Callithrix jacchus: one gene and its partner. The protein of the gene in region 1 interacts with the protein of each later gene in a pairwise test. Links are inferred from orthologs where the notes say so. Each region holds a gene or a part of one and is shown in the gene's direction. Other genes may lie near its edges. The genes, in order: MOCOS and PARVA.

Evidence for each region.
Region 2: the proteins of MOCOS (region 1) and PARVA interact in binary tests that used the Homo sapiens proteins (3 or more experiments, as listed by UniProt). The two-hybrid records come from large-scale screens. The link is inferred for Callithrix jacchus from reciprocal best matches to the Homo sapiens genes MOCOS and PARVA.

What each region holds. Positions count from the first base shown.
Region 1 is NC_133514.1:79,318,480-79,322,291, forward strand, and holds part of MOCOS (molybdenum cofactor sulfurase), read left to right. Parts: intron 1-1,538; coding exon 1,539-1,655; intron 1,656-3,374; coding exon 3,375-3,812. UniProt on the Homo sapiens protein: Sulfurates the molybdenum cofactor. Sulfation of molybdenum is essential for xanthine dehydrogenase (XDH) and aldehyde oxidase (ADO) enzymes in which molybdenum cofactor is liganded by 1 oxygen and 1 sulfur atom in active form.
Region 2 is NC_133511.1:78,412,113-78,415,924, forward strand, and holds part of PARVA (alpha-parvin), read left to right. Parts: intron 1-2,415; coding exon 2,416-2,517; intron 2,518-3,240; coding exon 3,241-3,313; intron 3,314-3,812. UniProt on the Homo sapiens protein: Plays a role in sarcomere organization and in smooth muscle cell contraction. Required for normal development of the embryonic cardiovascular system, and for normal septation of the heart outflow tract.

The sequences.
Region 1 (3,812 bases):
CTCGCTCATAGCCAACAGATGCTGGGAGGGTGACACTGCATGGCTTCTAAGGCTAGATCAGAAGGGGCGTTGCCATGTTGGCTTTGTTCCCTGGGACACTAGCTTTGGAGCCTGGAATTACCCTGTCAGTTACCGTCTTGTGCCCTGAGGCTGCCATGCATGCTGCAAGGATGCCAAGTCACACAGAGAAGCCAAGCTCAGGACTGTGGCTGGCAATCCTAATTCTGGAGCCCTCCCAGCCTGGGGACCAGAAAGACCCAGGAGTAAAGGAGTCTCCAGATGATCTCAGCCCCCAGATGCCAAACTACTCCCAGCCTTTGAGTCTTCCTAGCTGAGACTCCAGACATTTTAAGACAGAGAGGAGATATCTCCTCCGTGCCCTGTTTGAATTCGTCCCACACTGTAGCCATGAGCCCCATAAAATGGTGATTGTTTTATTATCTCTAATTTTGGTGGCCTGCTTCACAACAAAGGTAACTGGTTTTGAATACGGGGGAGTGGGCGATGGGGGCCACAGGGATTCTAATTCAGCCTAGTGGCAGCTGGACTGGGGGTCAGGGGTCTCCCCAGGGTTGCCTTGTGAAGCTAAACTTGATGCTGGAGATGGAGTTGGCCGGGCCCAGTAGGGTGGCCAGGACTCACCTCACAGAGCCAGGAAACTCCTAAATTCACTAGCAGGTCTGCATGCCAGCGGACCCTTAGCCAAGAGTGAAGAAACAGAATTGTTCATCTGAAGCCTCTCAGTTCAACCCAGAGAATGGCTTCTTCTCACTGACACACCAGAGGGGACGGCCAAGGTGAAGACTGCCCTGTCTTGATAAGAGTTTGTGGGAGGCATCATTGTCCAGCCATGATCCCTGGCTGACCGCACAGTGACCTCTGGCCACCCCATATGTGACTTCCCAGGGAGAAAAGTTCAAAGGCTCAACTATTGAGCAAGATGTGTTTGTTTTCCTGAATGCAGTTCAATGGCTCCTCCTGTGAAGTCAGCCTGAGCACCAGGGCAAGGACTCTCACTGGGCCCCCAGGCCCTTGAGGGAATGGAGTCCTTGACTCAGGCCTGGAGGAGCTGGGGCAGACATCCCCCAGGACTCATGTGAATGCCAACCTTTCCCAGAGCCTCCAGAGGGCAGGAAAGAGCTGTGGAAACTGCTGGACTGAATGGCAATTCCGTGATTAAACCCAAAGTTGGAGAAAGTGGGAAAAGCAAATCAATCATGCTCAGCATGGACACAGTAACACGTGGAGTCCAGGCTGCGAGCTGAGGCGGGGCTACTTGGAACGGCACTTTCACGGGGCCTACCCTGTGGTCCAAACCATGCAGCTGATGCCAAGAAGCTACCATCTCCAGCCTCACTGAAACATTTTATACAGTGTTTAACAAGCCTGTGGTACATCGTGGCATTTTAGAGGACAATTCCAGGCTCATATCTTTATTTTATTATTAGGAAACAGAGGTCTAAATGCCGATATGAAGCTCTCTCAGAGTAAAACTGCACATTGGTAACAGCTTATTCTATGTTACATTAAATCTGCAGGTGGACAAAATGGCCAGTCTTTACAACATCCATCTGCGAACTGGCTGCTTCTGCAACACTGGAGCCTGCCAGAGGCACCTGGGCATCAGCAGCGAGATGGTCAGGAAGCATTTTCAGGTTGGTACAGGGTTCTGCGGTCCAGATGCCGGTCAGCGAGACCCAGTGACACCTGTTACTACATGCGTGTCTGGAGTGGGGGCTGCTGCTGCAGACTCATTTCCCCATGCCTGCTCTGTGCATGTACAAAGGAAAAGGAATACAAAGAGAAAATGCTTCAAGAAGGCTGGGTGCCAGCTCACGCCTGTAATCCCAGTGCTTTGGGAGGCTAAGGCAGGTGGATCACCTGAGGTCAGGAGTTCAAGACCAGCCTGGCCAACATGGTGAAACCCTGTCTCTACTAAAGATACAAAAATTAGTCAGGCGTGATGGCATGTGCCTGTAATTCCAGCTACCTGGGAGGCAGAGGCAGGAGAATAGCTTGAGCCTGGGAGGCAGAGGGTTGCAGTAAGCCGAGTCAGTGCCATTGCATTCCAGCCTGGGCGATGGAGCAAGACTCTGTCTAAAATAAAATAAAATAAGCTTCAAGATATTATCTCTATTGCAGACTTTCTGATTAGTTTTTTACTTTGAGGCCAAACATTTAAAGGCAAGAGAGGGGAGTTAAGAAGGGATGTGTGAGGATGTGCCTTACCTGGTTCAGCCCTCCTGAGGTACAGCCTCCAGGTTACAGTTAGCCAGCTGCATCCAGGTTGGGTGCAGAGTGGAACTCTTCTTGGGCTCCAGGGATTCTGCATCTCCCAGAATCCCCACCCTCCCGGTCTCTCCCCTGGGCTGAGGTTTTTCACTTCAAGGTATAGCCTGTTTTAAACCATTGCACTGGGAATAATTTGAATGGCAAAGAGTCTTCATTGCTTTGAGTTTCTAACTTGAATTTCATTTGGTTGCCATGAAATATTGTATGTTATTGAAATAATGTATATACTAGATCCCAAGTAACCATGAACTGAGTTTTGTTTAAGAAGAAAGAGGGATAGGAGAGAAGGAGAGGGAGGAGATAGGAGAGGAAGGAGAAGAGGGGAGAGAGGGAGACGGAGGCTCAGAACACAAATAAACACAGCTCCAGATAGAATATTTGGCCCTGTGGAATGCTGTGGCTCCATTTCTTCGGGTGACTGAGCCGGATCCAGCACTGAGGAGATGTTTGGGGCAGCTCCATGCACTATGCTGACCAGTGACCAACACCAGGCAGCCGGGCTCAGAGAGTATGATCCTTCTGCCTTTCTTTCCCACCTCCCAGCAGGGGCCCTCAAGCTGACCTTGGCCTTCATAGTGGCCCCAGGCTGGTCATTTGCAGGGGCAGCATATCTGACTTTCCCTGTTGTCAAGGGGCAGCTCTCAGGGATGCAGGCCTCCCTTCAGTACTGACAGGCTCATGAGAGTGTCCAGTGATGTTTCTCCCATCTCAGTCCCGGGTAGACCCTGAGGTCAACCCCTCGGTGCTTCTGAAACTTCAGTGTGTGTTTTGACCCCTCTGTAAGCCAGCCCTGTGCCTGGCTCTAGGTAAATGTTTTCTATGAAGTGTTTCTATGAAACTTTTTAATGGCCTCTTTGAGATTGATATTGGTCTCAATTTACAGTTGAGCAAAATGAGATCCAGAAAGTGGTCCCCTGAGTGTACGGAGCTGACTCATGTCTCAGACACACAGCACATGTTAATGTTTCAGTTTTGTTTTCCTGGGTTAGTTTTAAAATTGACAAAATTTATTTTGAAAACCGTTTCCAATGTCTCTATGAGAAATGGGTTACTCTGGCTGGTGCATTTCTTTCTTATCCTAGGCTGGTCATGTCTGTGGGGACAATATGGACCTCATTGATGGGCATCCCACAGGATCTGTGAGGATTTCATTTGGATACATGTCAACGCTTGACGATGCCCAGGCCTTTCTCAGGTTCATCATAGACACCTGCCTGCACTCATCAGGGGGCTGGCCTATCTCTCAGGCCTGTGCTGACACCCGGGACTCTGAAGCCCCATCAGCAGAGGGCCAGGCTGATGTTGCACCTGCTGTCGTGCACAGACATAGCCTCTCGCCTCGGGAAGATGCCCTCACAGGCTCCAGGGTTTGGAACAACTCACCCACTGCTGTGAATGCTGCGCCTGTGGCCCCACCTGTATGTGATGTCACCAGAATCCAGCAGACTCCTTCAGAGAAAGCTGCAGGAGTCCTGGAGGGGGCCCTTGGGGCACATGTTATCACTAACCTTTACCTTTAT
Region 2 (3,812 bases), on another chromosome or scaffold:
TTAGGGTGGTGTTCACCAGATTTCCCTACTATAAAGTTATTTTTCCTCCCTTTATACTTAACTAATCTTTACTGGGGAGATACTTTGAGACTGATGAATCCTTCTTCTCCACCCCCTTTCTTTCTTGGTGAACTTCTGCCTTGTGCTTCTCTCTTAATCAGCTGGATACCTCCTTTTATTTTAAAGGCAAATGCCAGTCTGTCGTTGAGCTCCACCTGAGTTTGTCTAGACTGTGAAATCAGCTTCATACACTCTTGTAGGAAATAAAGAACGTTCTAGAAAAGTGATGCTTCCTTGAGTGAGCTGCAATGGACTCAGGGCAGGGAGTGCTATGACAGGGGTGACTGCCAAGCTCTTTGGGTCCCTGCAGTTTGATCTGCTATTCCTACCAAGTCAGCAGAACCAGCCAGGGGAGGTGGGGAGCAGTCTAAGCCTGGCACTCAGAGCTGTGAGTGACCCCAACCCTAACCACAGATTGGATATTTTTACTCCTAACTCCTTCTCACCATTGCTGGAATGAAGCCTAGTTGCTCAGCTCCCACCATAAGGGCCTTGATTTTGACAGACTCTGGGGTCTGCTCTCCCATGTCCACCTAGGGTGAGTCAAGCTCAGGCCCTTTCCACCTGAGCTGCAGGTCTGATGGATGGAAGCTGGGAGGAGCTACCCTTTTGTTTTTGAGACAGGGTCTCACTGCCGTCATCCAGGCTGGAGTGCAGTGGCACGATCACGGCTCACTACATCCTTGACTTCCCAGGTTCAGGTGATCCTCCCACCCCCCGCCCAGCCTCCTAAGCAGCTGGGACTACAGGCATGCACCATCACACCCAGCTAATTTTTTTGTATTTTTAGTAAAGACAGGGTTTCACCATGTTGCCCAGGCTGGTCTTGAACTCCTGAGTTCAAGCAATCCGCCCGCCTCAGCCTCCCAAAATGCTGCGATTGCAGGCATGAACCACTGCACTCAGCCAGAAGCTGCCTTTAAGGCAAGCCCAAGCTCAGGGTCTTCTGCCCTTAATGAAGGCTGAGCCACAGCCTGGCCAGCTGGCTACCAGGAAAGCTCTCTGAGCAGCCTCTGGGCTCCTAAGATGATTCCAAGAAATTTGGCCTTCTATGAACCCTAGCTGCTGTTTACACTCACAAACATTTGGTGGCCCAGCTCCTTTGAAAGGGTTCTAGAATGTCTGATGTACATCTGGCCTCTGTGTCTTTGCATAGACCCCCTACTCTTCCCAAGGTCCATCGTCCCGGCCTCCACGGCCTCCACAAGCCTGCCCTGAGCGCTCAGTATATGCCTACCTCACCCTCAGCCCTGAGCAGAAGACCGGCAGCCTCCGCAATTAGCCGAGGACTCTCCTGTCCCTTAGGCCTGGTTTCGCAACCCATCTGGCCTCTTCTACCTAGGAAGGGACCGGGCTCCAAGCCTCTTGCCAGGGCCCTCAGCACATAGTTCTACATCTGCCAGCAAGAGCCAGTAAGTCGTGTCCCGATTGCTTTGTTGTTTTCCCACACAGTAATAGCAATAGTTAATATTTGTTCAATACTGCACACTAAGCAGTTTACAGGCCCTGTCCATGTATTAACTGGCTTGGTCCTCATGATAACTCTGTGATGTAGATACTATACTATTACCATCCCGGTTTCACAGATGAGAGATGTGATTACAGAGAAGTGACATAACTTGCCCAAGGCACACAGCTGGTAGGTGAGAGAGCTGGAATTTGCACTGGGGAGGCTGGACCTCAGAGCCCACATTCATAACAGCTGCCCTCTGCTGCTGTAATACTGAAGAGAGATGGGAGAAAGAAGAGTGCCTAGGCCTGTGTGACACTTGGCCTTTCTCTGTTCGGAAAGCACAGATCACCCCAGGAGCCTCATGCCATTCACTGTGGACATCACCTCCCCCTCCTCCCTCTGCCCCACTCTAGTCAGTCTTGCTCTTCCTGAGCCCTCGACTTAGATGCTTTCCCCTCCGGAAGACTCCTCTGATGCCTTCGGTGCTTATGGGTGACTTTTCTTAACCCCACTCAAGCCACCGTGCTTCCTTCCATCGGAGCAGCTGTGCATTGCCCCCACACGTTTCCCGATTAGACTGTCCACTCCTCCAGGGCAGGAGCCACTCTGACCCCCCACACTCTGGTCCCCATGCCTAGACAGGGAGTTGGTACACAGCCTCTGCTCAGTAAATGCTGGGTCAGCTAAAATCAGAGCCATGGGTTTGTGGCTCCTGTGCTGGGCCAGCCAGACATGGGGCAGAGCGGACCTCCTTGTCTCAGGCCACCTCCCCTATCCCCCAGCTAGCAGCCTGCCTAGGGTGGTAGGCTTCAGGTGGCATAGCACGGAAGCTGATGGGCCCCCTGGATGGGGATTGGCTGGGAGGCTGAGGGGCCAGTGCCATCAGCTGGCTCTCCCTCCAGTTTGCAGATGGGGTATACCTGGTGCTGCTTATGGGGCTCCTGGAGGGCTACTTTGTGCCCCTGCACAGCTTCTTCCTGACCCCGGACAGCTTCGAACAGAAGGTAAGTAGAAGGACATCAAGGGAGGCCCTCTAGCCCACATCCCCAGCTCATCTGCCCACACCCACACTGAGGCTATCCAGAAAAAGGCAGAGCTTCCCCTCTGTCCAAGGTCTTCAGTGCCTGGAGGTGGGGCCCATTATGATAAGAGCTGAGCTGGGAAGGAGCTACCTGCAGACCACTGGGCATCCCTGACTGCCTCTCCCTTCCCTTGAAGCCTGGCCCTGGTCCCCTGCCCTGTGTTCCTGTCAAGTGCCCCAGCCCTGACTCATCTCTCCGCAGAGATGACAAGGAAAGTGGCTATGAAGCTGGTCATACCTGAGGCTCACACTTAGCCTGGTTCTGATGGCCTCTCCTAGGCTGCCACATCCTCCTCACTACACACAGGCATTTGGTCCACAGCAGAAAGCCTGCTCTGCCTGTTGAACGTGTCCTGCCATCTGATTCTTCCCAACGTGTGCGCTGACACCCCCAGTTTGAAGTCCTGGCAGTTTACACAGGAACACAGTAGGATATGAAGAGGGTTTTGAGCTTCTCCAATAGTAAGCTAGGATAAGCTAGCTCACTTTCCTTGTGGCCTGCCCATTTAGGTAGCCATATTTTTCCTTGAAATTAGTTCTGCCACTGCCCCTCTAGCTACAGTGCTAGGCTCCTTCACTTCCCGAGGTCAGGTCCCAGGGCTCCTGGGTGTGCAATGGCGCATACTTTCGGCATTTCTCTTGCCAGGTCTTGAATGTCTCCTTTGCCTTTGAGCTCATGCAAGACGGAGGGTTGGAAAAGCCAAAACCACGGCCAGAAGGTACTTTGCTCTTTCCTGAGTTTGTGACAACAGAATGAGACCCTCTCCCTGCATGCAAGTACTCAGATTTTGTAGCAGAGGGAAGCATTTTCTGAAGCCTCCACTGCTGGGGAAGGTGGGGCTTGGTGCAGCTGCTCGGTCTTGGGAGACCCTTTGTGAGATGCCAACTGCACAGCCAGGGGAAGAAAAGAATCAAATCCCACACATGCCGTGCATATGGGATTGCGGGGATCAGGGCGCGAGCAGAAGTGCTGCTGCAGGATCTGTCCTGTGCCCGATTTCCAGGTTTTTCTGTCCCTGTACAGGGTGCTGACCTGCCAAAGAGCTGTGTCCCTGCCAGTCAAGGTGAAGGTGCAGCGCAGACAGTTCTGTGCTGAGCAAAACTGCTTCTACTATCCTGACAGGAGTGGAGCTCCGCCTGCTCAGATGCTGCCTGAGGATAGGGCTTGCTATGTGGGGTTTGGGTTGTAAATGGAAGACTGGGGAAATGCAGAAGGAA